Linked DNA regions of Caenorhabditis elegans. The protein of the gene in region 4 interacts with the protein of the main gene of each other region in a pairwise test. Each region holds a gene or a part of one and is shown on either strand. Other genes may lie near its edges.

Region 1 (6,823 bases), on a different chromosome or scaffold from region 4:
CTTTGGAGACTATGAATAGATCATATAAAGTTCCAAATGTAACAAGAACTACGGTAGCGATAAGAAGATATCTGAATGTTAATGTGTTAACTAGCTACAATAATATAAAATTCATACAGTGCAAACATTGCAAGTCCATTTTCACTCATTGCATCTGAATATGATTCTGCACGACATTCCACGTCTACATTACAAACTGATTTTGTTCCTACTGCTCCTTCTGTTGCTCTGATTGCTAAAACACTAATAATTACACTTTGAAGAAAACAATATGAACTTACCAAATGATAACATTTGTTTCACATCGTGATTTGTACATGTATTTGGCATACATACTCCAAACTTGAGAACTGGGAAAAGAGCAAAACAGAAGCCATCATCAGTTACATTTTTGACCGTCTTATCACTAAATTTGTTTATTTTGATAAACGTTCAAAGTTACTGATTTTTTATTCGAACAAAGTCAACCATTTACGTCTGAAGTGTATCATTCAGCTCAACTTTGAAATCTCATGCCAGAGTTGCCAAATTTCCAAATTATTGTTTTATTTCTTATTTCATAGTTTGTTGCTAATGATTGTGCTTATATAGGTAGTTTGTAGTCCCTCTAACTCACTAGCAATGTTTATCTGGTGGTCCAGACATCATATTTCCAAAATAAACTAGTGGATTGTCTCTCTCATATGCATCAATTGTTGCCAAACAATATTGACCTTTCCACTTTTGTCTGTAATCGCATTTAATTATTTTTTACATCTAATCAAACTAACCCTTGAGCATTCTTGACAACGTCAATCTTTCTACAAGTGCTCCATGAGCCCACCCATAAGTTATTTCCACTCATAATACCAGCTGGAACCTTTCCCATTGCATCAAAAACATTAAAAATCCAGTGACGTTCACTTTTCTTTTGTTGGAAAAGTGGTGTACATTTGCAATCTGAGCAGTTTTTATGCTCTTCAACATGAGTTGCATATTCTACTCCAGTCCATGCCAAGTGCATCATGTCTCCAACGCAAGCTAAATGTTTTTTGTTAAAGATATAGTCATTATAAACTAACCCATTGATATATCAAATGATTTTAATTTTTCAACCATTTCAACAGCATACTTCATTAATTCAAGATTTCCCTCTTCAGCTCCATCTCTATAAGCTTCTGCGTAATTGAAAAAATGACGGAAAAAGTCGAGATCAAGAATTAGCTGAGCATCGGAATCTGACATATATCTTGAAAAAACGGATCCCATTGCTTTAGTGTCTGTCTCATCATAATCCAATTCTTTACTTGAGAACAATGAACCATCATATTTGTAACTCGATTTTGAATTGGATATGACGGTTACTGTAAATATAAACATTTTAATCGTTAACATGAATTTAATTAATTATGCCACTCTGTTTTTTTTTTGAATATAATTAATGGAATATCTGACTAGTTAAACATAAAATTAAGATAAAATAAAATGGTTCAAAATCCAAAATACACAACAAAAGAAACATGAAACATCCGAGAAAGTTTCTAATCTACTGTAATCGTAATGAACAGTTCAAATTTCCTTGATCTTTTTGTAATTTTTCTTTATTAAAAATGTAATTATTTATCCTTACATATTACTAGAACAGCAAAGATCAACAGCCTCCGCATGTTACCCATTTTGATCTGTAAGTTTTAAAGTAAGCAGCAGGAAGGCAATGAAAAGTTGCAAGAAAGTGAAACGAATTGAACAGATTAGGCGAATAAGTGTCAATCATTAAGTGTCGGCGGTTTTTTTTGCTCGAAGGCAATCAAGGCACAAAGGTTTATAATGATAAGGAATATTTTTTGGCAGTCTAAGTCTCTCTCCCTAGTATAATATAATATTGTATCAGAAACAAAAAGAAATACCTATCAAAAGGACATTCGTTTTACAGAATCAGTGGGGTTTTCAGATAACATATGTAGGGTTACCACTAATCATTAGTATAATTAGAAACTCAAGAGTTTTGTCAAAATATAGTCACAGCAGGTCAATAAGACAATATATCTGAATAAAACACGGCATTGTGGATTTTCCAAAATATTTAGTCAGAGATTTGGCAAAATGCCAGACTGTCAGAAAAATTGAAATTTTGAGCCTACAGTGTTCAAATAAGAATAGTTAAGATATAGATTGAACATAAAACTCGTGTAACTTTTTTTTAGTGAACTTCCAAAATTATAAGAAGTACATGAAAACTGAATTATTGCTACTTTGTAACACTTTGTAACAGTATATAAAACGTCCTCAATTTTTAACTACGACATTTTGTGATTTTTTAACTTCTCTAGATCATAAAATTTTTGAAAGCTAAACATTGATGCGTTGCAAAATATATATAAATGAGTTCTGGTGTGGAAATATGTATATGACGAACAATTGGAAAAGTTGAGTACTGTAATTATATAATTGGAAACGGGCAAAGTTGGTTTCTTCCTCTAGAGCTCATAAACTCATCCTAAAAATTATATAAATAACAGGTTATTTGAAACAATGTTGTTTTGTAGAATTTTTACTGACGAATGAAATTTCAAATGCAAGAAAAACGAACGATTGTTATGAATGGAAAATGGAAGAATGAATCATAATTCGAGAAATTCCTAATAAAAATTATTCCATTTGTTCATAAATTCTAGGAATGTAGTAGCAATTTCATTTAAATAAGGAGATAAATGTGCAAAATTTGAACTGAAGATACTCTCGGAACTCCAAAAATAATAAACTGAAAATTCTACAACACAAAAACACTGAATTGGAGAAAATCAAAATGATACTGGAATAATATTTCTGGAAAAAGTGCGAAGAAGCAATGTGATGATTGTAGGTGATGTTTTCGGGTGACTAATTAGTTTTGGTGTGTCCTCCGGTTGAATACAGTCATTGTCCATGTTCTTTCTCTCCCCTTCTTTCTCTATTTCTCTACACTTTTTTTTTTAGTTTAACTCGTTCCGTTCGTTGATAGAATCAATGAGAGGAAGGTGCGAGACGAATTCTCCCGGAAACCTCACTTACACTCTACGTCTCTATTAGGCGTTGAACTTGCCTATAGTTCATAGGATTTGCCGCTCCAGCGAACATCAATGATGTCTTAAATAGTGGAAAAAGGCGTACAGATTGTGTGAGAACATTAAAATGCAACAAAAAACCGCTGAAGAACGTGACTTGACGTATCGAAGTGGTAATTGGAAAAGAAAGGTGTGATTGTGATGAGATTGATAAGAGAGAGGAGGAGATGATGGTTGTGGAATATGATTGAAGTTGAATTGACATCAAATAGAAATTGGTTTATGGAATGAGAATAAAACGAAATAATTTAAAATGTAAAAGTTTAGAACAGCTGAAATGAAGATCTTTTCGTGAAAAACAAAAGTTTCTGAAAATAAAGATTAAGGTATTCCAATCCGATCGAGTAATTATGATGGAGGTGGTGGAGGTGGGATCATTCCATGACCAGATGGTGGTGCTGGAGGACGACTTGGTGGTGGAGGTGGATACATTCCTGGTCCAGCAGAAGGATATCGCGGCGGTGGTGGTGGCGGCATGCCTCCCGGATATCTGAAAAGAAAAATTGTGTAAGTTCGAACGGTGAACATGAACGATATTTTCAACTTAGAACAAAAATATATACCTCATCCCTGGTGGAGGTGGCGGCGGCATTCCACCCATTCCTGGAGGACCAAATCGTGATGGTGGTGGTGGTGGAGGCATACCAGGCATACCTGGTGGTCCTGGAGTTCTTCCTGGTGGAGGCGGTGGTGGTGGCGGCCACATTCCAGATGATGGTGGTGGTGGTGGACGAGGAGTCATTCCTGGCGTTGGCGGCATTGGAGGTGGCATTGGTGTCACACTTGGTGGAGGTGGTGGTACTGGTGGATATTGTCCTTGATATCCAGATTGAGCCATTCCCATCAATGGTGGTGGTTGATAGCCTGGGCGTCCTGTTGCATGAGCAGCAATAGCAGCATGAACTCCTGGCATGGCCAAAGGTGTGTTAGCTGGAACACCAAGTGGAACGTCAGAAAATACTTGATGTGGCCGGTCTTTTGGAAACAGTGGATTTTGTGCAGCCAGCATACGCTCCGCTGCTGTTCCGTGTCTTTCTCCTTTTGAATCTCTCTTGAAAGCGTATGAGACGGTGATAGCTCGATTGCAAAGAAATTGGCCGTTCATAGCTTCTAATGCTGTATCTGAAGCTTCGAATGAAGCGAAGTTGATGAACGCGAATCCTTTAGACGTTCCCGAATCAACATCTCTCATGATTTTTGGAACTTGAAGAATAACTCCAAAAGCACTGAACGTATCGTATAGCAATTTCTCATCGACTTCTGGATCCAGATTTCCAACAAAAATATTTGCACCAACATCCATATTCTTTTCATGAGCCGATGCTTTGTTCACCTGAATATTATTTTTTTAAATAATAAACTAAACATATTTGATAGCTTACTTTAATTGGCTTTCCGTATAATTTGATCATGTTTAAAATTTTGATTGCATAATCTGCATCTTCTTCTCCCATGAACTCCACAAATCCGAAACCTTGATGATTGGCAGTTACTCGATCTTTCGGCATATTGACACTGACAACAGGTCCTGCTTGTACCATAAGTTCCCATAGGATGGACTCTGACACCTTCTCGTCTAATCCACCAACGTAAATTGTTGCATCTTGGTTTCTTTCCACTATCGGCCCTGCTGACATCTGAAATATTGATTTTTAAAAAATGAACAGCACATGAAAAAAAATAAGTCCAACAAAGGAAAATAAACCTCTGATCTCAAAAAAAAATATTTTGGCATATATATATATAAAACATGTTTATTTTAAAGTGATAAGAGATCAGTTCAGAAATCTTCATCTTCCTTTGGGGATTTCTCCCTCTGATCATCGAAATTACGAGTTCCCTTCAGTTCATCGGATTGCACAAGAGTCTGGAAAAAGTTAGAGAACTCCAACGAGTCTCCTCGTTCGTCCCAATCTTTTCGGTTGATCCATGGAACTTTAGAAGCAGTGAGAAGCTCTTGACCACAATGCCAGGAATGAGTTTGTGGGTTTATTACGTCATTTGAAACATTCAATCCATATTCTGCTGGCAGCATTGATCGAACTTCTCGTTCCAGGCGTTCACGAAATCCTGGGAAGCACGACGATCCGCCAATCACGATGATATTTTCTGCCAGAGCAGGCCGTAATGCTTCTGGACATTGACAAATACTCTCGATAACAGCTTCTGCGACACCACATTGATCAATATCAATATCCGAGGGACTGCAACAGATAAAATAGTTTATACTTTTTGCCGAAATTACTAACTTGAATAAGATTTCCGGAATGGCGAATCTCTCAACTCCCAAATGAATTGAAGGAATTTGTGGATCGTGTGGCTCTTTAACGTCTTTCACTACACCTCGGAATGTCGAGTGGAAATCCGGCATAATATATCGTTTCATTGTTGTATTTTCTTGAAATCGATTCCTGAATAAAAACAATATAATTAGTATTCTTCATTTTTATACCTACCTAGCCTCTTTCATGCTCTCATCAAAATTTTGTGAGACGAAGCAAAGATCCTCTTTACATTCGTTGATAACGTATGTTTCTTCGCTAACATTCAATTGTCGGTAAGATACCCAGTCCTTCAATTTATTTGTTAACGCTTTTCCACCAACATCGATCCTTAAAAATAAAGCTAATTGTAGTTTGAAAACACTTTCCAACCTTATAACACTATCCTGAATAAGCATTCCATTCACAAATGAAGCTACCGTAGTCCATGAAAACCCGGAATCCACAACAACTGCACACTTTTCGTTGTTGATTTTATTTGAATGTTTTGCCACCAAAGTCGAAGCAGACGTTTTGTGTACCTCTGTGAAGCCGAAATAATCAAACAATATTTCACTAGAGACATCAGGAAGAGCTGGGATTAGATAGTTATTATCTGTGAGTGCAATTCGAGAAGTAGACGCCTCCACATCCATAGATCCGAACGTTTTCTCCCAGATTTGCTGTTGTGTATCCCAATTCACCACATATCCTCTTTCAATTGGTCGCACATAGAATAGCGAAAACTTGTCCGAACATTCTTCTTGCTCGTGTGCAACAAAAACCCGCTTCTTTTCATGTTTCGCTTTCACAATACTGTTTGGAACTAATCTGAAAATATTTAAATTATATTGATATTTTTCTTATTAGAAACAAACCTAGGGGACTCTGAGTCTATCGTACCTATCTTCATATTATGGCCACCATTGTCAAAAATAATTGTTGTTAAACTCATCTACAAAATTATTTCACAGAATGAGTAGTGTGATTTTTCCAGATAAAAAATTAAGAGTAGGGTGGTAACCTATAAGATAACAAATAATTTCGAATTATCACAATATTCATGAAAGTATCAGGCACACAAGAAACAACCCGGTTATTGGAATTGAATTGAAAATCTATGCGTTTTTACGAATGTTACATATGCTTCTTAAAAATTAGGATTCCCACGTAAGGCGACCGGTCCTTCCCGTTGAAGAAGTTGCTGAAGACGAGCGACTTCTTCGTCTTTACGATCCATTTCTCCTACAGGAGTCCAGCTTCTGTCATATTCCAACCGATATGATCCAAGATATTCTTCTTTCTTCTCTTGGTATCCCCACTCGTTAGGAGCCAACATAGAGAAATATTTGTTCATGCTTCCTTGCTTCTGGTACAAATGGTAAATTCGGCCAGGTTGCTTCTCCATGTTACAGGGAACGTTATGCAAATGCTCATCGCGTTGAGCATCTTCGAGAACTGCACGAGCTGCCATATGTA
Region 2 (5,990 bases), on a different chromosome or scaffold from region 4:
CATCAAGTCTAACAAGATCGAGACTTGTGCCTTGACGAAGTCCACAATGCGCCACAGTACGATAATCCATAAGCTCCGATCCCTTGAAGAGAAGACGCTGCTGATTTGGTGGAATGCCTTCCTTCTCCTGAACCTTGAGCTTCAAGGTACCAATTGTATCCGTATTCTTGATTGAAACAGCGGTAGTCTTTCCTCCGGTTGAGTTTTTCACAAAAACGTTGAAATTTCCATCGACTGAAACCCGCCGAATCTGATAGGGCGATGCTACTGAAAAAAAAATATTATGGGTAAATTAGACAAATAATCAATTGTAAAACCAACCACGTCTCACGGCGGACGAAGGCAAATATGATGTGAAACGCCTATTCGGTTGGACGATTCTTTTTCCCGCAAGCCTAACATTTACAATTCTACCGGAGGCGGCAGTGCCACGAATAACTGGCTCCGCGGGTGGCCCAGCCAAATCGGGGTTTTCTTCATTTCTGTTGGTGTCCGATGCTTCGACTTTGATGGGATCTCCGGTCACTTCTTCTGATTCACGAAGCGGTGCTTGCTGAGCCTCTTGAATTTTGACATCTTGGACAGTGTCCTCCATTTCAATGATTTGATTTCCGGCATCTTTGTCTGAAAATTATTATTTTTAATGCAAAAACCAGGAAAAAAAAACGATAAATACCGTAAGAGACTGCAAAAACGACTCCCTGTTTGTAGCGAACTTCAGTTTTCACACTTTTCGGCGCTTCCACTGTGATGGTCTTTCCAGTCGACGTTTTGATGGAGAGCAGCATGATTTTATCTGAAAAAGTTGATAGATTAAACCTAATTGAGAGCATTTAAACAAAAAAGACGCAGAAAGAACTTTTTAATTTGACAAAAATAGTGAAAAAAGAATAACAATCGACAGAAATTGGATTTTCAGTAGTTGTTGAACTTATTTTGTTAAATAAAAAATGATAATGCACCTAAATTAATTTTTTTCATTCAAATTTCGATAAATAGCGAGAAAGAGCAAGTTAATATGGGCAAGAGTTTCGAAAAAATCAATAAATCGAAAAACAAATCTCGACAAACTACGGTAAGCGTAAAAGTTCACAATGAACACAATGCGCATGAATTGACGCGCATGCCGTTTTTTGAGTTTTTTTTTGGTTTTATTAGAATTTCAGCATTTTTTGCAGAAAATTTTAAAAAAAACTATTATAATATTTGAAAAGAAACATTTCAAGTACTGAATCAAGCAAAACAGGAAAAAAATATTACAAAAAACTGTTTGCGCGTCAATTAACATGCATTGTGCGCAACAGCGTACTTTCTCGTCTACCATAGTTTTGCCGATTTTTTATTAATTTTTTTGTGGTTTTTAACGAAAATTCTTGTGAGTTGAAATGTATTCTATGATAGAGAAATACAGAAATTAACGAAAAACCTGAAAAGCACACTTTCTGAATCACTGAAAAAGATTCTTTACGTTGGAAATTCAGAACACAAAGAAATATACCGGCTGTTTAAAAACCATATTTTTAATTTCAAAAAAATCTAAACTTTTTCAACATTCATCAACAAAAATAAACAGAACAGTAACAAAATAACAAGTAACAAATTAACAATATTCAAATTGAGAACTTCATCCACGAAGTCTGAGAATTAAACGGAGAGTAGCCTCATTATAGATGTTATAGGCAATCAAAGTACGGTCATCCTCGAGCTGCGATCCTTGATAAATAAGACGCTGTTGATCTGGTGGAATACCTTCCTTATCCTGAATCTTGAGCTTCAAGGTCTCAACAGTATCCGTATTCTAGATTGAAATGGTGATTGTCTTTCCGGTATAGGTTTTCACAAAAACGTCAATTTCTTTTTCTATAGAAACTTCCAAACGAAGAGTACTGCCGTTTTCGAAACTGTTGTCAAAAAGAGTGCTATGATCGCTAAACAAATCTAGGTCCCAGTTTTCTGTAAAAATTAAAGAAATTAGACATATCTTTCAATATTTAAAGTACAAACCCAATAATAGTTTTTGCGTATTTGGGAGGATTCTTAGTTTTTCCCAAATTTTAGCCTTGACACTTGCCATGGTATCGGAGGCGGAAGTGTCAAGTGTGCATGTTCTTCCAGCGTTCTCAACGTAAATTCGGATTCCTTCATGATGCAGTTCTTGCTGAGTCTCGGCAACCTTGACATTCAGATTTCCGATGACCTCCGATGATTCGACACTGATGGGATCTTCGGTCACTTCTTCTGATTCACGAAGCGGTGCTTGCTGAGCCTCTTGAATTTTGACATCTTGGACAGTGTCCTCCATTTCAATGATTTGATTTCCGGTACCTTTGTCTGAAAATGATTTTTTTAATGCAAAACCCAGAAAAAAACAATAAATACCGTAAGAGACAGTGAAAACGACTCCCTGTTTGTCGCGAACTTCAGTTTTCACACTTTTCGGCGCTTCCACTGTGATGTTTTTTCCAGTCGACGTTTTGATGGAGAGCAGCATGATTTTAGCTGGAAAAATTTATAAATTAAATATTATTGAGAGTTTTGCAACAGAAAAACGAGGACAACGGTGAAAAAAGAAGCAAACAAGGGAGAAATCTGGTTTTTGGATAATTTCGAAATGATTTTTCTTAAAAATATGAATAGAATGAATTAATAAATATTATTATCAAGATTTTGATGAATTACGGGCAAAAAGCAAGCTATAAAGAAGAATTGCGTTGAAAAAGTCAATAAATCGAAAAACAAATATTGCAAAACTACGGTAAGCAAAAAAAGTTCACAATGCACAAAGAACACTTTAATTGACGCGCAAATTTTATTGAAATTTCATTTATATTAAAAAACTTTTTTCTAAGTTTTCGATGAAAACATTTCGAGTACTGAATCAAGAAAAACGGAAAAGTCAATTATTTAATGTGTATCGTGTGCAACTGCCTACTTCCTCGTCTACCGTAGTTTCGCTGATTTTTTATTAAATTCTTTGTGGTTTTTTAAATAATAGAAATTCTAATTGAAGAAACATGTGCCAACAGAAATTCTAGCGGGTTGAATAATGCTAAATTGAATTAAATTCGAGTATTTCAAAATATCAGCCTGAAGTATCCAAAAACCTGAAAAACCAATTTTCTGAACCATCGAAATAAAATGTTTAAGTCGGAAATTCAGAACACAGAAGAATTTACTGGAAAAAAACCCTCATATATCATAAATATGGTACCTGTAATATTTTGAGACAGTGTTTTTAATTTAAAAATTAAAAAAAAAACCTTCAACATTTATCAACAATAAAAAACAAAAAAGTAACAAAACAACAGATTAAGAGCAATCAAATTGAGAACTTCACAACCGATGTCTGGAGACTAAATGGATAATATCCTCATCACGAATGTTATAGGCGAACAGAGCACGGTCATTCTCGAGCTGTGCCCGACCGAAAATGAGACGCTGCTGATCTGGTGGAACACCGTGTTTATTCTGAACCTTGAACTTCAATGTCTCAACAGTATCCGTATTCTTGATTGAAATAGGAATCGTCTTTCCGAATAAGGTTTTCACAGAAACCGTCAGTTTTTCTTTTACAGGAACTTCCAAACGGAGAGTACTGCCGTTTTTGATGTTGTAGTCAGAAATAGTACGTTGATCCTTGCACAAAACAATGTTGGAAGGTTCTGTAAAAACTAAAGAAATTAGACAAGCTATCAGTTTCAAAGTACTAACCCAAATATAGTTTCTGCAGATTTGATGGAAAACCTCGTTTTTCCTAGATTTTAGCCTTAACACTTGCAATGGTATCGGAGGCAGCAGTGTCAAGAGTGATCGTTTTTTCACAAGTTTTAACGTAAATTCGCATTCCTTCACGATGCGGTTTTCGCTGAGCCTCGGCAACCTTGAAATTAAGATCCTTGATGGCGTCCGATGCTTCAACAGTGATTGGATCTCCGGTTACTTCTCCTGAAAAAATAAACATATATTGAAATAAAAACCAAAAAAAAAATCGATAAATACCGTAAGAGACTGTGAAAACGACTCCCTGTTTGTCGCGAACTTCAGTTTTCACATTTTTCGGCGCCTCCACTGTGATGGTTTTTCCAGTCGACGTTTTGACGGAGAGCAGCATGGTTTTAGCTGGAAAAGTTGAATTTATTGAGAGTATTGCAACAAAAAACAGTGAAAAAAGAGTAACAATCCACAGAAATTTGATCTTCGGGAAGTTTTGAACTTATTCTGTTGAATAAAAAAAATATAGCACTTAAACTAATTTGTTTCATTTAAATTTCGATAAAAAATGAGAAAAAACAAGTAAATATGGGCAAGAGTTTCGAAAAAATCAATAAATCGAAGAACAAAAATTTCCAAACTACGGTAAGCGAAAAAGTTCACATTGCACACAATGCACATTAATTGACGCGCAATTAGTTTTTTGGGGTTTTGTTGTTGTTTTTTCTTCGCATTTAAACGTAGTTCATCGTATTTTTTGCAGAAAATTCAAAAATAATTATTTTCAGCGGCACATTGGGAAATGGTCGCTGTCAAAAGAGAATTTGAGCTCTCCCATGTTTTCAAAGATGTGTCGAAGCTGGAAGATGGAAATACTTTTTATGGTCCTGAAGAAGAACATTTCAATGTTCAATGGCAAGCTAGAAAATGAATTGTAATTTCACTCTTACGTTTAATATTGCAGGCGAATAGTTCTCATTCACCAAAAAGAAGACGTGGCTGTATTTCTCCGGTATCTGCACCCAAAAAATGAGCAAGCTCCCTGGAAAATCGACTCTGAATTTACCTTGAAACTCTCTAATTCTTCGGGAAAATCTGTGACAAAAACCGGAAGTGACATTTGGAATTCATATGATGCACTTGGATTTTGCGATGTTTTCGAGTGGGACTCATTGCTGAAGGATTATCTAATCGATGACGTCATCATCATTGAAGTTGCTGTTAAAATCAAGAATATGTCTGGAATTCCGAAGAAAAAGCTCAAAAGCTTCGAGAGATCGAATGAAGAATTTTCAGATGTGATTTTGGCAGTTGGAGATAAAAAGTTCTTCGTTCTCCGAAAAGTATGTTCTCAATTTTTTTATCAATCAATTATTGATTTTTTTTTCAGTTCCTGGCTTCCCACTCTACATATTTCGAGACTCTGCTGCTCGGAAATTTTGCAGAAGCTGACAAATCAGAAGTCAAACTCCAGGACATCAATTCCACCGATTTTCAGAATCTCATGGAAGTTCGGTATGGAGAATATGCTATTGATGGTGAGAAATTCGAAATATTTTTATAAAATAAATCCGCAAAAATTAGAATTTTAAAAATTTCAGAGGAAACAGTGGACGGAATTCTGCACTTGGCTCACTTGTACGATATGCCGTTTCCGATTAAAAGATGTGAGGAATTTCTTGTCGATTCATCTGAAAAATCCACGAAGGAGAAGCTTAAAGTCGCCAAGAAGTATCAGCTGGAGAATTTGAAGGTAGCAAAAATCCGAAAAAAATCTCGAAAAACGTCTGAAAATCTAATTATTCAGGCGTCTTGTCTCGCAAAAATCAATACGTTGGAGGAGATCAAAGCGGCATTGGCTGGAGATTTGGATGAAATGGATCCATCTGTGGTTCATGCTCTTTTCCGTAAATCGCTGGCTCTTCATTGATGTTCCATTCTTTCTTCTTTTTAACTTTTTTTGTTGAATGATTCCTTATTTTTAATTTACGACAACTAAAAATATAATACTTCCGACGATTTTACTAGGTTTTCTTTTTTTCAGTGTTTTTTGATGATCGGTTTCTTATCTTTTTGTGAAATAAAATTTTAAATGAATGAATTGAGTTTTTAAATTTGAATTTTAGTTAAAAATTGGGTTTTTTCAGGAAGAATTTCGACGAGAAGAATCGATATAATCGCAAAAGTCGATAAAATCATTAAAAAATCTTGCCAAACTACAGTAAGCAAAAAAGTTCACATTGCACACAATGCACCTGAATTGACGCGCAAACCTTTTT
Region 3 (7,649 bases), on a different chromosome or scaffold from region 4:
TCATTTCTTCATATTATTTCCGAATTTTTGCTTAATTTCAATAGATGAATAAATAAATTTAATTAATTTCGAAAATCAGGTTCGTAAATCGACACAATTGCTACAGTAGTCATTTTGAAGGATTACTGTAGTTTTCACTACGAGATATTTTTCGCGTCAAATATGACGTGAAATAAGAGCATTCTCAGAATTCTCTCTCTTCCAGTAATATCAATTTAAAATTTTTAATTTTTCAGAATTTCTTACGCCTTTCTCCAGACATTTCGACGTCGTTTTTAGACGGACAACACCAAAAATTCATATTTTAAGTAGGAATATATAAAAGTGAGAAATCTGTTTTTTTTTGACTATAAGACCATGCTCAATGAGTCATCGTGAGCCGCGAAAAGCTACTTAACTTGAGGATCGGGGACAGATTGCTAAATAGGAGAAAAATGATCATTGATTTTTTTTTCTGGGTAATTTACAAGAACATGTGAAAGTATTAGATTAAAAATAGTGGTTCAGAAATCAATAATTTTTGAATTGAAAAAAATGGATCCATTAGCATATTTCAAACAAAAGTGTTTTTTGTTGTTTTGAAAAAACAGCTTCTTATTTTATTTTATTTTTTTAATTTTTTCAGATTTTAATTTTTTTTTTCTCTAAGCTACGAAATTTTTTTAACCATTTTCCAAAAAAAAAAAGTGAAATTTTGAAATTTTTCAAAAAAAACATTTCTTAGGAATTTCTTCGAATTACAGATCCTAATTTTATAATCGTAATAAATTTTTTTTTTTAATTTTCAGAAAACCCAAAAAAAAAACACTGAAAATATTAGTTTAAAAATCGTTTTTATATAGAATTTTGAAAGTTATCTTTGAAAATTAATAACAAATAAGTTTTTTGTGAACTTTCAGAGAAAAACAGAGAACTTTTTGTTTTTTGGAGACCATAAATAAATAAATAAATAAATATATACCGTATATTCTCTAATAGTGCTGCATATCCAGTAGTACTGCAGTCTCTAATAGTGCTGCATTCAAAAAATGTCCAAAAAATAGTGCTGCACCCCATTTTCTATTGAAAAAGTCACTTGACAGTTTCGATATTTTTGGGTATTTTTTGTATATTTTTGATGATTTTTTGATAATTTATGGGGTTATTCAAGTAGTGTCGGAAAATTAAAAATTGTAGAAAAATGAGCAAAAAAATTATACGTTTTCTGATGTGTTTCTGATGAAAACTAAACATAAATTTTATACAATGTTATGATGCTTCGTTTTTCCGGAAAATCGATAATTTTTTATTTTCGATTTTTATCTCTGGTTAGGTTTTTTTATATCTTGGGATTTTTGTCGTGTGAAAGCTATATTTGAAAAACGCACGATGCATCTGTTGATAATCACTAATTCCATTCATATCATGAACTTTCAACGTCTCAATCGCCTGTAACACAATGCTTAAAAACATTGTCGCATCCTGTTCATTCTCGAAATTCAGCCCATACACCCGCCGCTGTTCGGTACGCCATTGATGAAACATTGGTGTGGCCTTGTGATATTTGATTCCTCGATAAATATTACAATTCAAGATATTCGTGCTGTCAGCGCGGTTGGATACAATCCGAAACTCGGGTCGCCGAATGTCTTGGATTAGGCGAACATTTGTCATTGAATCATCATTTCCGCCGAGTAGTACCCATCCTTTTGTCGATTCGTTGTAGGTCATCACTCGGGCCATTGCCGTCGCGATACATGCTTCGCTACTGGAAAATTTGAATTTTTTGGTGGGAAAAAATGAAACTAAGTTCTGAGAATGCGTATTACACAACATATTTGACGCGCAAAAAATCTCGTACCGAAAACCACAGTAATTTTTTTAATTACTACTGTAGCGCTTGTGTCGATTTACGGGCTCGAAACTAATTGATTTATCGAACCGAGCTCGTATATCGACACAAAAACTACGCATTCTCCGAATTTCGTGCACATGTAATATGATTGCACTAAAAATCATTTTTTCAAAATATACTTGTTTCAAAAATGACAAGAAAAAGTTGGTTTTTTTTCGGTGGCCGGAAATCGAAAATGTTTGGCAATTCGACTAATATCGAGGTAAAAAGTGTGAAAAAGTAATTTCTATCATCATAGTAAATGCGGTTTTTGTGGAATTGTAACTTTTTTCACTCGCAATTTAATAATATGACATTCTCAGGGAATTTGAGAATATTTTCGATAATTCGAAAGTTGGCGAAATTGAAGAAGGTAAAAAATGAGATTTTTGTCATCTTTTAAAAAAGGTTCGGATCAACTTTTTGCACAAGTTGCGAATTTTGAGCTCTTTCAGATGTAATAGAACCGACCACTTATATATGCGAACCTACTAGATTTTCGAAACTTTAAATAATGGTATCTGATTAAAGGTGGTGTTGCAGACGAAATTTGTTATTGCTTTATTAGACTCAAAATTGTTTGAAAACACCGAATTTTATAATGAAACTTCTCAAAAAAAAGTTATGGCGGCTTGAAAAGTGACCTAAAATTAGTTGAAATTCGAAATTTGACTTGTCACAGCGACTGGAAACTAACTTTTTCGAAATCACCTTCAAATTTTGAGTATGCAATTCAATTATCTTGCATTTTCAACTTCATTTAGGTATAATAAAGTCGGGAGTTTTCCAAAATATTGTTTCCAGCCGCTGCGGCATTTTTCAAATTTCAAATTTCAACTAATTTTAGGTCATTTTTCGAGCGGTCATAACTTTTTTTTTGGAGAAGTTTTCAAGAAGTTTCATTTAAAAAATCGGTGTTTTCAAACAAACATTTGAGTCTAATAAAGCAATAAAAAAAAATCGACTACACCACTTTACAAAAAAAATCCAATCACTCTCTAAATTTCCACTCAATTTTTATTGTTTCTCATTTCATTTAATTTTAGTCTCGTCCCTCTCTCGGAGGTCGAGCCGGACATGATAAGTGGCAGCAATTGGCACGGGCTCTTTTCACTGCTCATCCAGTTCTCTTCCTTCTGCTGGACACTAGGTATTTGTGCAAATAGGAACACACAGCATCACCTCACACACACACAAAAAAAACATTAGAGAGCTTCAGTGTCAACATTACAGTCAGACGCTGTGAATCAGTCAAAAAATGGATTTTTGCTGGGTGGTAGATCGCGGAGACACGGGGGTTCTGGCCTTGCTCATTGAATTTTTCGCGCTACATTGACAATCGTCCGCCGGACAACGCGTGGAAAAGTGTCGTGTACTCCACACGGACAAATACATTTAGCTTTACAACTAAAATCGAGCCGCAACGAGACACGCAACGCGCCGTAAATCTACCCCAGATATGGCCGAGCCAAAATGGCCTAGTTCGGAAAACTCTTCCATTTCAATTTATGAGGGAAGCCAGAAATCCGTGCGGAGAGTAGCGTGAATGAAAATTTCGCTTCAAAAAACCCCAAAATAGTCTCAAACTGAATTCCCTTCAAAATGAGAACAGCGACCAATCAGCGAACCGCTCCGCCCACTTTTGAACCAATCAGAATGCTTGTAGCTACTGATTGGTTAGAAAGTGGGCGGTGCGAATCGCTGATTGGTCGTTGGTTTCATTTTGAAGGGAATTCTGCTAAAAACAGTTTTTTTTCAATTGTCTGCATTCAAAGGAGCATTCCTATTAGGTCCCAGCACGAAAAAATTGGCAAATAAATTTTATAACTCGTGTACTCCCCGAGGAGCATGCAAATTTTTTTCTGAAAAAAAATGCTCCTCTGTGTCGATTTACGGAGCTCGTGTACTCCACGAGGAGAATATCGATTTTTGAAAATTTTTTTTACACTCAATTCGCGATTTTATCAATAACTCATAGTATTTTGTTCAAAATTTTTATAATTTTATGCTGAAAACAACGAAAATACGTGAAAACGATCAAAATTTAGCGAAAATGGTCAAAAATCAAGTATTTTAGCGCCAAAAACTGGCCTAAAACATAAAATTCACACTTTTCCTCGGGAAGTACACGAGCTGCGTAAATCGACACAAGCTCGTGGCCGAACTTTTGCAATTTTTAGGCCAATTTTTTGGTTTTTTTTTTCAATTTTTTTTCAAATTTTCCCATAAAAAGTTCCCCATCTCCATAGTCATTATTACCTCATTCTGGCTCAAAAAAGTGCAATCTAATCTCCTTTTGCTCTTTTTGCTCAAAAAAGTGCACTTTTACGGCAGATTTTGTGTCTTGTCAACAGCAGCAGCAACAGCAATCGGTCAGTGTTTCACGCATTCGAAATGCAACGGCAAAAATTTTGAAGTTTTTTGGTGGAGGTTTGGCTGAAAAATGAGAATGTGAGAAGGGAAAAAACAGAAAAATATGCATTTTTTATGACGAAAAAAAGAACGAGATTTATAGGGAAAAATGTTCGGGGAGGGGAAAAAATCGATTTTTCAGAAAATTGAATTTTCGATTTTCTGGAAAACCTTGGAAAAATCGTTTAAACTTTTTATTAAATTTTGTTCATTTTGATCTCTAAAAAGAGGAAAAAAGAGGAAAATGGACAAATTTGAAGCTATTTTTCGAGAAATCTAGTTTTTTTTTCAAAATTTCAGAAAATCGGAGAAAACATTTGTTAAAGAATTTTTGAATTTTTTTCAAAAAGCGGGAAATTTTTTTTTAGAAAATTTTTAAAAAAATCAATTTAAAAAAAATCGATTTTTAAGATTTTTAGGATAATCGAGAAATTTTTTTTGGAATTATTTGAAAAAAAATCGAAAAATTATCGATTTTTCGTTGGTCGGAATTAATGATTTTTTTCTAGAATTGGGAAAAATTTTGTTTTAAAAAAGTTTTTTTGTATTTTTTTTTTACAGATTTTGCAAATATTTTTTCAGCAAAGTGTGATATCGATTTTTTTAAAAAGAAATTTCTGAAAATCGAAAAAATATATTTTTTGAACAATTTTTTTTCAAAAATTGAGAAATTTTGGTTTTTTCAAACACTTTTTGACACCTAAAAATCCGTAAAAAATTATTTTCAAAATTTGGTAAAATTTTTGAAAAAAAAAGTGCTGTTTTTGCTTTGAGCTCAAAAGTGTGCAATGAATCAAAAATTACTTTTTTGATTCAAATTTTTGGTATTTTTGTAGGTTTTTTTCATTAAAAAAATATTGCCCATCAATGGAAAACATTGTAAAAATTTGCCAAATTCGTTTATAATTGAAAAACTAAATAATTATTTTTGATTGAACTCATGATTTTTGTTTTAATTTTCAAACAAAAAAAACTGTGAAAACCCCGCGAAAAAAATGGAAAATGCTCTAATAACTGTGCAAACAGAAAACACAAAAATATCAAAATTCATTGTCTGTTGTGCCGGCCATCGTTACAGTGAGAAACCCGAGAGAGAGAAAGAGTTTCCGAGTGGGAACAAAAAATGGGGAAGGGGTGAGAGTGACGAAACACAGGCTGATGGAGACCGTTTCCGGAAACGAGTTGCACGGGGGGGGGATCATGGTTTTTTAAACAACAATAAAAGGTAGTTTCTTAAATTAAAACTTCTAAGGAAATCGCTTCGAGACACAAGAGATTAGATTTCGAATTGTCATAAAAAAGTGAATGACTCATTGTCGTCGTCGTCTCACTTTCTGTATGACGAACAAAGTGCAAACATGCAGTGTGTTCAATATACATTTGCGTGGGCAATATATTTATTCAAATTTTTAAGTTTGAAAAAAACACTGTAGTTTAAAGGCGCACGAAGACACGAAATGGCCGAAAAAGCCCAGGAAGTTTTGAGTTGAAAACCCCTATAATTTCGTTTTTCAGCTATGTAGAAAAATGTTTTGATTTTTCAAAAAGTATCTTAAAATTTTTGTTTTTTTGTTTTTTCATCGACATGAACAAAAATTCAATTTGTTGAAAAAATTCAATTTTCTGAACTTTTTTTTTCCGATTTCTTGATTTCCCCCCCCCCCCCCCCCCCCCCCCTGAAACAAAAAACGATACATCGAAAAATGGCCCCATTAGTCTGAAACTGAGAATGCGTATTGTACAACACATTTTACGCGAAAATCGTGTTGTCACGTGGTGTCAGAGTGTCTCATTTCGGTGTGATCTACGTAGATCTACAAAAAATGCGGGAGAAGAGACGCAGAGTTCTCAACTGATTTTGCATGGTTAAGAACGTGCTGACGTCACATTTTTCGGGCGAAAATTCCCGCATTTTTTGTAGATCAAAACGTGATGGGATAGCATGGCCCCACGTGTGCTGTAGAAACGTCAGTGTCGATTTACGGGATAACATTTTTAGAAAATATTCAATCTTGGCAGCAGAATTTAATTTTCCACTAAAGGGTAAGAGCACAAAAACCCACAGAAAATTGAAAATTGCTGCCAAAATTCGAGGAAGCCCGCAAATCGACTCGAGAAGAATTATTCTCGTAAAACGAGATCCCGTAAATCGACACAAGCGCTATACAGTAGTCATTTAAAGTATTACTGTAGTTTTCGCTACGAGATATTTTGCGCGTCAAATATGTTGCAAGATACGCATTCTCAGAATTTAGTATTCCCGTAATACAGAGTTTCCGCGTTCCGCTGTGTGAGACCGTTCGTGCAACAATAAGTAACGTATACAAAAATTTATGTTTTTTCTTATTTAAAAAATTTTTGAGTTAGTTTATATCCTATCCGTGTTTCAGGCTTTTTGACCGAAAATTAAAAATTTTAGATAGGTATTCAATATTAATTTTTGCGTCCGTCTAAAAAATTCTGGAAAAAATATTCATCAAAACTACTACATATACTACAGGGCGAGTAAAAATAGTAGTAGTTGTAGCAGAAGTCTACACGGCTATCTGTTATGAGATGAGACGCGATTGAGAGAGAGAGAGAGAGAGAGAGAGAGAGAGAGAGAGAGAGAGAGAGAGAGAGAGAGAGAGAGAGAGAGAGAGAGAGAGAGAGGAAGTGGAGAAATGAGAGTAGCAGAGAGAAAAATGGAATGGTGAAAACTACTCGAAAAACGACGAGTGGAATGGCACAGCAAAAAAAGAAAAAAGTTTTCGCGGGGAGGGCTCTCCGTCCCGTATGCCAGCTATCCTTTTCTCGTGAGATGCTCCTTTTTCCATGAGCTCCGGAGAGCTTTTGGAAAGGGAGAGGACCCCCTTGAATGGATTTTCGGAAAGACAGCACAAAGTCCGAGTAAACTCAAAAGTTGAGAGAAAAAAAACTAATTTTGCGGATTTTTGAACTGAAAAAGTACACGGATTTCTGGCTTCCCTCATAAATTGACACGGAAGAGTTCGCCGAACTAGGCCATTTTGGCTCGGTAGATTTACGGCGCGTTGCGTGTCGCGTCGCGGCTCGAGTTTAGTTGTAAAACAAAATGTATTTGTTCGTGTGGAGTACACGACACTTTTCCACGCGTTGTCCGGCAGGCGATTGTCAATGGAGCGCGACAAATTCAATGAGGAAGGCCAGAACCCCATGTGAAAAAGTGATTTAAATCGGGTACAGGGGTGTTTGTTTTTCTATTTTTTAAAAATATAGTACTGTAGTTTTCACAATTCTTAAAATAAGAAATAATATATTTTTATCGAAAAACTTTAAAAATTCTATGAGAATTCCGAAGCTACCAGGAGTTTAAAATTGCTGTAACTTTTAAAGGCGCACACCT
Region 4 (10,755 bases):
TCGTTTTCCGAAAAGTGGTTAAGACTATTTCAAAATTGGTATTCAAGTATCAGTGGATCGTACTCAGTGTACATGAGTGATGATCAAGGATGTTGTAAATTTTTACTTTGTTTGTTGACAAATACTCATATAATCCAAATTTATTGATTTTTTAATTTACATGTTTTCATCGCCTTCTTATGCTCATTGCGTAACAATCGCTCTTTGAATATCTGATCTATAATAATAATGAGACATGCAAGTTTTACTGACATACAACAACTGAGTATATGTAGGTGTTTGCCCGAGAGAGTTCTGGAAACACGGAAAGAATATCGAATGTCTGATGTCCAGAATAGGAACCATATTTCCGTTACACGCCTTTTTGTTTCTTTCCTCGTAATCTCTGTAATCTTTATTCTTTTTATTCACTCATTCATTTGCAACTTAGAACCAAGAGAATTCAAAGTCAAATATTGCCGCCTACTCAAGTAGTTTACAAGTTATCGAATTTCAAACTCTCTTACCTGAATATTTTCACTTTACTCACTTTTTTTCGTTTCGTCATTTTCGAATATTTGAATTTTCCAAATTCCAGGACACTCAAAAATGAGCCATGCAAGTATGGTAATATCGGCATGCGCTTTTAATAGAAGTATTGCAACGCATATTTTGTACATCGTCCCCGAGATAATGTGTTCATTGTCTGGAATATTGTCAGTGGCAATAATAGTATATTCGTTCTTTCTATATGGGTTTAGACTGCTGTTCCATTATAATGCCAAGGTAACGTTCACAATATAACAGCATTTTGAAAGCAAAAAAAATAACAACAAAGAGTCATTGAATTAATTTTCAATTTCAGATTCTCATGATTCTGCTCACGATCTTTATCCTTATTTTTTCATTGGATATCGTCTATGTTTGCACACGACAAATATACCTTGCATTCAGTTATGAAAATGATTGTGATTTAGTTTTTGAAACAGCGTCTTGTTCCATATTCAGAAGAATTGCATTGTGAGTTACTACTGTAAAGGTTGAAGTAGTTTTTTTTACTTTAGAACATGTTTCGTTGGAGTCACTACAACTCAGTTCTGTCAAATGTTCGAGCGTCTAATTGCTACAGTAGCAAAAGAGAAATATGAATTTCAAACCCAATGGCTTGGTGGTTTATTGGTTTTTTTTTCAGTGAGTTTATTTTTCATAGTTTAAAATTCAAAATTTCTGAAGTTTACGTGTATGTACCATAAATTTTCGATACAATTTCTCAATAAATAGGTTTCCCGTTTTTTTTTTCCAGATTCTCTCCGCAATTCTTGCAATTGAATGGACTTTGTGGAATGAAGATCCATTGGAGCCCATGACCCATTGCCTTGTATACTCTACATCTGCATCAATTGGAGAAAGAATGTATATCGTGTTCCTGGGAATACTTGTTGTTGACATTTTTATATTGGCCGTTTTTCTAGCTTTATACCAAAATAACAAACGAAAAATATTGTAAGTAATGTAAATGTGAAATAATCAACTACATATATCTTTGATCAGATCCTCCGGGCTTAACAAAAAGTATCAGCAACATGAGAACTTGGTAGTGTTAAGAGCTCTCTTTCCAATGGTCTTGTTGAATACTGTCTTTGTTTCTGCCTATATTTTAATTGCCATGGTAGTAAGAGCATTCCGAGACTCTCTTAGTCTCACAAATTATAAATTTATCGCGATTAACACATTTGTAAGTTATTACTATCTGGTAAAGCATTTCAAAATTGAGATTTCAGATATTTCCTTACGTGTCATTGCTACTTTCTATGACAATTTTGGTGACCACCAGGAACGAGTTCCAGAGAAGACAACTCCGAGAGCTGAACCAAAATGGGAAAGGAGTATCGCAAACTTATTTCAATCTATATCAGCGGCAATGGAGCGTTATTTCCGAGAGAAAATGAATTTATCATAAATATTTTGTGACTAGAAATTGTGTGAATAATGTAAATTCGGGTCATCGTTTTTTTTTAATTGTATAAATTTAATTAATGAATATATATTTTTTTAATTTCTTATTCTGCATATTTTATATAAAAAGTGTTCTATTATTTGTTGGATTGTTGTTTTTAGGGCTATTAAATAGGGCATTTTCTCAATTTTTATATCATAGAGCGCGTATATGGATTTGTTTTTTTTTTTGTTGAAAAAAAAGAAAAACTAAAGCTGTTCTTTAAAATAATTTAAATAGGTATGTATGTATTTGAATATGTGGTTGAATAAAAGCAACAAATACGTGGTTTTGTAGCAATTTTCAGAAAATAGCTAAGCCAGAATACTTCCGTTGTTACATCTTGTCCTATAATCATTTTCAAACAAATTGTTCAGTTTTGTGGGTTCGGTTAAAAGATATAACATGATAAGGTTTCGATCTGATATGATCGGAACACGTTTTCTGTTTTCACTTTTTCAATCACAGACGACTATGTCTGCCATCCTCTTGTCTTACTCTAACATCATTTGAAAAATCTTAAATTGATTAGGTTTTTTGTGGAATTTTAAAGATAGCTTAGTATTGAAATTTTTTTGAATGTTACAATTGGAGTGGCATGGATTCATTGAGATGGGTTCCACCGCAAAAATAATGTTTATACCTACTTCAAATTTTTTGGGGATATTCTTTAAAACTTCTAAAAAGGGAAACGAGCAGTCGAAAAATAAGAAAAAATGCAAAAAATTATAGTTTTGTTTCTAAAAAATTGAAATGTATTTGATATCAAATTTGATAAATATGCTATTATAATGAGTTTTACCGGCATTTCGAAGTTTTCCTTCCTTGAATTTAGTTACTTTCCAAATTTACATCATAAATCTCTTTCTTATAAAATAAAAATTCATCTCTACACAAAACAATGTTCAAAAGAGCATCAAAAAGAGCACTTTGTTCGTGAGATGTGAAGAGAAAGGGTCAACACATGTTATTTATCACCGTAAGTCCGTTGAGGGGCCGCCACTATACGGGTTGAAAAGACGAGAGATACACCCCGCAAAAGAGACCCAGAGAGTGCGATGGAGCGCGTTTGCATTTCTTACTCAGTGTTCACCCGTTCTATCGATTCCATCGACAGTATTTTTAAACTCCACAGGGTTATTAATTACTAAAAATGTGTTATTTGAGAATTTATTGATTTTGAATTTTTCTCAATTTTTTTTGTTAAAAATTTATCGAATATGTTCACCGAATACAGTATTTTTTCAGAAAATGGAACCTGGTTCGGGTTCTCCGTTATCGGCTCGAGCGAAATTTCAATTCGAAGGTTCAAATAACGATGAGGTGAGGTTTTGTTTCCCACACATTCAAACTTGTGAAATTTTTTTTTAATTTAAAAAATAGTACATACTTAAATTACTTTTTGACAAAAGTATCATTCCACGAATTTTCAGCTAAGTTTCGACAAGGATGACATCATCACAATAACACAGCAGCAAGAAGGCGGATGGTGGGAAGGAACACATGAAGGAGTGACCGGATGGTTTCCGTGTGCCTATGTAACTCTCATCACAGAAAAAGGTAACTTGAATCGGAAAATTCGAGCTAATACCCACAAATTGCAGACAAACTCCAGCGATCTCGATCCGTCCCAAATGCAACTGCAAAAGGTATATCTCATGAAGATTTACTCGTTGAGACAATTCAAATTTAAAAATTCAGAAGTGGTATCCGTCGGAGCTCAACCAGATTATCGAGACCTTGTGCTCAAAAGTTATATTGAATCGGAAAAGGAGTACATGCAAAGCTTGCTCAAAACGTTGCAATCTCTATTGATTCCAATTGGGGCATCTAAAATGTGAGTTTTAAAATGTTTTTTTTAACTTTCAAAATGTGAATTTAATTCATTGCGGATTTTTCTTATTGCTTTTTTTGTTGATCAATCCAGATTCTAAAAATTGATAACTTGAAATTTGGAATGATGGGCACCTCTGCGCTATGAAAAAAAGTATCTTAAAAAGTGGGGCGAGTAGCTCACTGTTTCAAAATACAGTCACAGGTCCCATTTTTCAAAAAAAAATTGAGTCTAGCTAAAGCTTTAAAAAAGTATACCTAAATTATTACCTAAATTATTCATATTTATTTACAATTTACTTTGAGATTTACATTGAGAAAAACATCAAGTTCCATTGCATTTCCGGTGGATTTTCATTTTTGGGTACGACAATAATACATTTTTGACAATTTTCAGCTTGACGGCTCCAGAATACTGTACGTTGGTTGGGAATTTCGAAGTAATTTACACTCTGAAACGTGATCTTTTTGAACAACTGGAGCGTGAGCAAAAGTGAGTTTTAATTTCTCCAACCTTCTTCAACTTTCTTATTTCAGTGAGGAGCTTCCAAAAATGAGAGTCGGTGGAATGTTCATGAATGCTGCTCTTGAGCTCAGAACGGCACTAATGAGTTATGCTGACAATCATCCAGACGCTGTCGAAGTTCTCAAGAAGAAACAGTAAGTTTTGACAGAGCTAGAGAATGTATCGAATGTATTGTTTCGCGTTTTCAGGAAGGAGTTGGAAAAGGTGGTAAAGTCGCAGGATCGGGAGTACAAGGAATTGGTGTTAGGACTCAGTGAGCCACTCCGGCACGTCGAGAGGTACTACAACTTGCTCCAGGAGCTTGAGCGAATTGTTCCGGTGAGTATTTGAATCTAAATGAGAAAAAAAAACATAGGTCAATCGATTCATTAAACTCTGGAATTTTTTTTCATAGAGAAAGCACAGTTGTTTAATTAAAATACATCATTTTTGTGAAAATTTTATTATGATAATTTTTTTATGTTAAATTATCAAGTCTACTCATGTGAACAAACGTTGTTAATGCATAATAATTTTTATATCATTTTGAGTCAATGAGATCATCATCAAAAAAATTTTCAGGCGAATCATCCGGACCGTGGAGATTTACAACGTGGATCGGCAGTTTTTCGGGAAACAAAGGTGCGTTGTTTTAAAAATATTAGAAACACAAATCTAACTGACTCACAAGAATTAGGATCAACAAGTTTTAAAATCAAACTATTTTTAGGATTTGTGTGAAACCCTTCGTAAGCAGAAAGAAGCCCAACTCGACTTCTTGTTTGTGTCAAAAGTGGACAAGGTGGTTTCAGCGTCAGAACGAGGATCTATTCTCTATGTGGGTGTTGCAAATGTGGAATACAAGAAAGCGGATGCAGTGGATCGGTGAGTTGCCGAAAATTTTACCTGTTCAAATTTAGAAGTGATTTCAGATTCGTGGCATTGTTCACTAAATACATTATGTTTTTCGAAGTCACCAAGGATATGACATACGACATTAAGGAGAAGTTTACAGTGTCCGGTTTTATTGTTCGGAAAAAGGAAGCTACTGAAATTTCATTTGGTAAAATATTCGGATAAAAAATTAAAATTAAAAAAAAAAACAAATTAGTAACCCAAGTTTTTCTAGATCGCCCCAACACTGGAGAATTCACTCTAACGATGGTTTCAACCGGGGGTGAGGTGGAGAGATTCCTTGTTGCTTTGGCGAAAGCTGAAAACGTGGCAATCATCACTCCGACGACAACTATCTTGAGGAGACCTTCCAAAAATGCTAACGATACAATGAATCAATCACAGACTCAAGGAGCAGAGACTCCTCTGGTCGCAAAACCCCCACTTCATCCCCCAGGAAACTCGGATCAACAGTATAGTATGATGAACAAAAGAAAAAGCTCGAAGAAGTGAGTGTTTTCATGTTAACCGTGTAAAATTGGAATGAACAGACAATTATCAAAAATGTCTTCGCAACGTTTAACCCTCAATTATTTTCGATTAAGTTATATTTCTTTTCGCCGCCCGGTTAGCTCAGTCGGTAGAGCACCAGACTCTTAATCTGGTTCTCGCGGGTTCGAGCCCCGCATTGGGCTTAGTTTTTTGTTCGTTGCGATTGGTTTTCCTATTACAAGTATTTAAAGAAATTCCATGATTTGCCAAATTTTGAGATTAAATTCGTGATACCAGTTTGTATTATTCTCAAAACTTCAAAAGTAGTACCAAAACGGAAAAAAATTAAAAAAAATTTTTTTTGAATATTAAACACTGTATTGAAAAAAAACAGCGTGGCGTTTATGCACAGATTTAAAAAAACATAATTTTTGAAATCTGTTCAAACACGCTACGCAGTTTTTTCTCAGTGAAAGTGTACATACCACATACCGAGACGAACAAGTGGCGTCAATCACATTACTGTCCTTGAAAAACGTGACATATTTCTATTTGAAAGGTCGCACCACATCTACTTTTGCCGCCCGGTTAGCTCAGTCGGTAGAGCACCAGACTCTTAATCTGGTTGTCGCGGGTTCGAGCCCCGCATTGGGCTTACGCTTTTGTCTATCTCAAATGATCATTAAAAAAACTTTACTATAAAATTTACTCACTTTTCTAAATTGGGGTGCGAAGTTTCTAGGTGGAATATTTTTTCAACATTAAAGGAATTTTCTTATTAAATCCTATACACTTTTTGAAAGTATCGCTATTCAATTAATTTTCAATGTCGCGAGAAATCAATTTTGCCGGTTTGTTTATTTTAACAGTGTTGGCAACGACCGACGACCTAACAAATTTCAACACACTATTACACTAAAAAGTGCGAGACACTTCCTGACAGCCACAAAGTGCGCCTGACATTTTCACTTTTTAAATTACACGCGCCTCGGTTCCTATCGCCGCCCGGTTAGCTCAGTCGGTAGAGCACCAGACTCTTAATCTGGTTGTCGCGGGTTCGAGCCCCGCATTGGGCTTACCTTTTTTTGCATTTGTCCTCTAGACAAATGTATGCAAAAAGATATTGCAAATACGATTTTGATGGGATGGGATAGAGTATGAAGCGAAAAATTTGATGTAAATTACTACTTAGATTAATTGGTATTTATGTATTAGATGGACAAATCTCTTCTCACCAAAAATCTCTATGTTTTTCGATCCCTCGATTTTGGATAACAAGACTTGGCAACATTAACGCTCACCAATTTAGGCAACACAAGAAATTGTGTGTTCTTCACGGATCAAAACACGAAGACTTTCTAACTGTCGCATGTGAAATTTCGGACTCAATAGATCACGAAGAATAGTTCGTAACAGATACAATGGCTATTGAGATAGGAGAAATTAGGGTGAAAAGTTTTTTGTGTGGACAATATAAAAAATAATGATAAAAAACAAATAAAACATGGAACGAGACCTAAATTTTGAAATTTTCAGCTTTGATGACAGTTTAAACTTGGGAAATATGAAGTTCGATCATGAACTCGGAATGGTGCTCCCTGAAGGATTTGAGCTGCCAACAAGCAGTCGCAATTCAAGGAATACTGCAGGTAGGAGATATTTTGTTATTTATTGTTTTCTCTGTCGTGATTATGATTATCAACTAACAAAAATCTTTTTCAGATAACCTGCAATTCTCCCAGTTCCCATCGTTTTTCCTAAGCGGGAACGCCGGCAAACGAGGTGATCGTAACATTCGACTTCGAAAAGACGCGGCTCGTGATGAGGAGATTGAGTTTGAGACACTTCGAATTTTGGAAGGATACTGTGTGGAAACTGGTGGCGGACAGTCGGACTTCCATGCAAATGAAAGTTATCAACAACCACATTTGATTGTTGCAGAAGATGAGAAGATTCTGATGGAGGAGATGATTGGAGATGAAGTTGTTTTGCAAGAGAAGTAAGTTTTTTTTTGAACGATGAGACCTTAGAAGAGTCCAGTTCAGTTTTTCTAGGGTCAAGATTGTACACAATTTGTAAAAAAATTTAACCTTTTCGTTTCCTCTTCTCTTGCTGAATCATAGATATTAGGGTGGCGTATATGAAAAAATTGGGTGGGAAAATAACGGACGAATAGGAAAATCGATAATTGATTGATAAGAAAAACTAACTTCAGCAAACCTGAAATATCTAGAAACTTTGCAAAATTGGAATCCCCCCCCCCCCCCAAATTGATGTTTTTTTAGTAAAGAAGTTGATTTTTCTAAGGTTCTTTTAAAATTTCTGTTTTTTTTTTTCAAATATGTCCAGTGTTGATTCCCAAGTAGAGTAATTTGGGCACGTGGCTCAGCTTTGAACAATTTTTTAGTTCTCAATTCAAAACCGGCCAAAACGTTTTCCACTGTGTATTTAAAACTGAATGAGTTCTCAACTGATTTCGCATGGTTAAGAACGTGCTGACGTCACATTTTTAGCAACAAAAATCCCCCATATTTTGTAGATCAAACCGTAATCGGACAGCCTTGCACAACGTGCCAATAGTGATATTCCTAACAAGGCCCTTCATTTCGAAGCCAAAAAGAGATCAAACATTTACTTTCTGTAAAAATATAATTTTTGATCACCAGTAAATAATGATTGTTTTCATCTAGTCATGTTTGCTTCTTCTTTTTCTTCTTTTGTCTGTTTTGCATATCGTCCATTTTCAGTTATTATTTTTCGTACTGCTTTTAAAGAAAAGTAATAAGCTGACAAGGAAAAACAAGTATCCCCAAAGATAACAAGATGAAGAGGGGATAATTTTTGTAGAGACAATTTTTTGTAGTTTCCTTGTTTACTGATATTATTTGGTATTATAGTATTATAGCCGTTCATCGGAAATTGTTGTCTGATGAAAAACAGGACGTGAGTTGTTTTTTAGATAACTTTCAGTAGGATAGCTTGTTTTGTCATGTTTTCGACCTTTTTCGACCTTTAAGTGAAAACCATAACAATCTTTATTTCAAATTTCCCTTCACAAGTGTGTAATTTAAATAAATTTATAAGCTATTCTTCAACGAACATAAAAAGATTCGTGCATTTAGAAAACATTTCAAATTTATCTTTAAAACTTTATGTACATCGAACTTAGTTAGACATCGTCTATAAATCTGTCATTTTCATTCGTCGTACTCCTTGAGCACATCGGATGTATTTAGTTTGAACTTGAATAAGTGACCAGTATTTCCCAATGGTCAATTCGCTCTTGCTCCAACGACAATATCTATTCCTCCGACTTGCTCTCTCTTCGTCTATCTAGATTTCCGTTTCATTGCTCATTTGTCACCTCTTCTTTTTTTTTCAGAAGTATTGTGGATGCTGTGTACGCCATCAAAGATCAACTTTCGTTCCTTCAGACCGAATTTCAAAAACTAGCAAAAGTGAGTGAAAAATTCTTCTCTTCTGGTCTGTCACATCTAGCACCAATAATTTCATTTTTCCAGGTTGTTGAATCCGAACAAAAAGCACGCCGTCGTCTGGAGCACAATTTGCCAAAAATGTCTGGGGTGATCTCGCCAGATGGGAGTTCCAGTACTCCAAGAAAGGAGATCAACTCGTTTGACTTGTAAACTAGTTGAAAGCGTTTTCTCGAATGAGTGAGAGCGCTAGAAATTACAAAAAAGTCATTGCAATTAACCTGTTGGTGCGGTGCTAAAAAGCATTTTCAACACCTAATTATCAATTAGTTTAAAGTTTGATTCTAGTAACGTTCATTTAAAACTTTGTTTTCTTTGTTTTCTTAAGTTCATCGTCAAAGTTATGCCAGTAGAATGATCGAAAGCGTTGAAATATTATCATTAAATGGTTGACTTTTGTGATTATTGACTTAACTTTTTATACTCAATCAAATCAGTAAATATAAAAAAGGACAGTCCAAATTATCCTTGGAAGTACGGGAAGCTTGACTGAAACCAAAAAAAAAACAATTTTCGCATATTTTTTTTTTGAATTTTCAAGTTAGCTGGTTTGTCATTTAAATTTTTAATTTGAACATCGGAAGCCATGCAAATGTTTATGTCAGGCTAAAAAGACTGAAAAATTGAAAATTGCCAAAAGTAGCTTCACTAGGAAAATCTGTTTTTGTTGTTTTTTCAAGCTAATATCCTCACAGAACTCATCTAGAGACTTGATTTTTTTTATTTACCAGATGGACTAAAAATCAAATGTCCAATTACAAGTTTATATTTTCCTACTTAATTCTATTTAATTTAATTATTTGAACCCATATCAAACATTATTTCCTTCTCCGTCTTCCTTTCGCACTCCCAGAAAATACCAACAACCACGACCTCTTCCTTCTCGACTTTATTACTCCTCTATTTCTCCAACTTTTCTCGACCTATGTGCCTTGACTCGACCACCTCTTTCGTGTTTTTTTTTTCACAAATCAATGTTGTTTTTTGCCTGATTTCCGATTTCTTAGCATTTATATATTTTTCCAAAACAGAAATCGTTTGGTGTTGTGTAACTTTCACACTTTCTTTGTATTTTGTTTCTCACTTTTTTCTCTATTTCTTATTTTACATTTTTCTGAATAAAACAATATTTAATTATATATTTAAGGCAAGTTAGTCTTTAAGAACCTTTTTTTGTTAGAAGCAAGGCGAAAATTCTAGTTTTTGAGTCTTTTTTGAACTGATATGATCAGCATTCAAAAGTTGCCTAGGCTTTGCTGAAAGCTTGACTTATGTCAAAAAAAAATCAAAGCTGTATCAAATTTCTATATTTTTTCAATGTTAAAATTAGGGCTCCCATGAGGTGGCCGCAACGGCGCATCCGCTGGTCTCAGCGATCGCCGCGCAAGCTACTCATTTCACGCCAAGCTGCGAAACACCGAACGTGTCGGCTGCTCCAAATAACTAGGTTTGCACCAGGGGTGTGCGGCAAATGGAAAAAATTGCCGAGCTCGGCAAATCGGCAATTGCTGGTTTTTCAAAATTTGCCGAGCTCGGCAAATTCGGCAAATCTCTTTTTTCAA

Evidence for each region.
Region 1: the proteins of pix-1 (region 4) and sap-49 interact in a two-hybrid assay, tested with the Caenorhabditis elegans proteins (one large-scale study listed by BioGRID).
Region 2: the proteins of pix-1 (region 4) and F52C6.3 interact in a two-hybrid assay, tested with the Caenorhabditis elegans proteins (one large-scale study listed by BioGRID).
Region 3: the proteins of pix-1 (region 4) and unc-34 interact in a two-hybrid assay, tested with the Caenorhabditis elegans proteins (one large-scale study listed by BioGRID).

Annotation. Positions count from the first base shown.
Region 1 is NC_003280.10:8,031,048-8,037,870, forward strand, and holds sap-49 (Splicing factor 3B subunit 4), read right to left. Parts: upstream 4,721-6,823; coding exon 4,466-4,720; intron 4,417-4,465; coding exon 3,647-4,416; intron 3,574-3,646; coding exon 3,432-3,573; 3' UTR 3,203-3,431; downstream 1-3,202. Other genes in the region: nrf-6 (Nose resistant to fluoxetine protein 6), read right to left, coding at 1-71, 118-235, 282-406, 617-727, 771-1,020, 1,062-1,343, 1,610-1,655; arp-6 (Actin-like protein C08B11.6), read right to left, coding at 4,864-5,287, 5,333-5,494, 5,540-5,695, 5,738-6,175, 6,223-6,299; C08B11.9 (uncharacterized protein), read right to left, coding at 6,495-6,823. UniProt on the Caenorhabditis elegans protein: Subunit of the splicing factor SF3B required for 'A' complex assembly formed by the stable binding of U2 snRNP to the branchpoint sequence (BPS) in pre-mRNA.
Region 2 is NC_003280.10:1,921,268-1,927,257, reverse strand, and holds F52C6.3 (Ubiquitin-like domain-containing protein), read right to left. Parts: upstream 2,500-5,990; 5' UTR 2,492-2,499; coding exon 2,380-2,491; intron 2,332-2,379; coding exon 2,005-2,331; intron 1,954-2,004; coding exon 1,799-1,953; 3' UTR 1,538-1,798; downstream 1-1,537. Other genes in the region: F52C6.2 (Ubiquitin-like domain-containing protein), read right to left, coding at 1-267, 322-624, 677-788; F52C6.4 (Ubiquitin-like domain-containing protein), read right to left, coding at 3,755-3,945, 4,000-4,111; bath-2 (BTB domain-containing protein), read left to right, coding at 4,514-4,626, 4,676-5,054, 5,102-5,249, 5,313-5,464, 5,519-5,641.
Region 3 is NC_003283.11:979,194-986,842, reverse strand, and holds the start of unc-34 (WH1 domain-containing protein), read right to left. Parts: upstream 4,138-7,649; coding exon 4,133-4,137; intron 4,033-4,132; exon of another isoform or gene 3,937-4,032; intron 1,748-3,936; coding exon 1,368-1,747; intron 1-1,367.
Region 4 is NC_003284.9:13,724,076-13,734,830, forward strand, and holds pix-1 (SH3 domain-containing protein), read left to right. Parts: upstream 1-3,217; 5' UTR 3,218-3,226; coding exon 3,227-3,298; intron 3,299-3,408; coding exon 3,409-3,535; intron 3,536-3,579; coding exon 3,580-3,624; intron 3,625-3,676; coding exon 3,677-3,812; intron 3,813-4,205; coding exon 4,206-4,301; intron 4,302-4,345; coding exon 4,346-4,468; intron 4,469-4,522; coding exon 4,523-4,652; intron 4,653-4,895; coding exon 4,896-4,955; intron 4,956-5,043; coding exon 5,044-5,198; intron 5,199-5,245; coding exon 5,246-5,376; intron 5,377-5,442; coding exon 5,443-5,716; coding exon of another isoform or gene 5,717-5,720; intron 5,721-5,822; exon of another isoform or gene 5,823-5,911; intron 5,912-6,275; exon of another isoform or gene 6,276-6,365; intron 6,366-6,682; exon of another isoform or gene 6,683-6,792; intron 6,793-7,235; coding exon 7,236-7,348; intron 7,349-7,421; coding exon 7,422-7,698; intron 7,699-9,081; coding exon 9,082-9,157; intron 9,158-9,220; coding exon 9,221-9,346; 3' UTR 9,347-10,332; downstream 10,333-10,755. Other genes in the region: K11E4.6 (G_PROTEIN_RECEP_F1_2 domain-containing protein), read left to right, coding at 589-765, 845-999, 1,044-1,170, 1,283-1,482, 1,531-1,714, 1,761-1,928.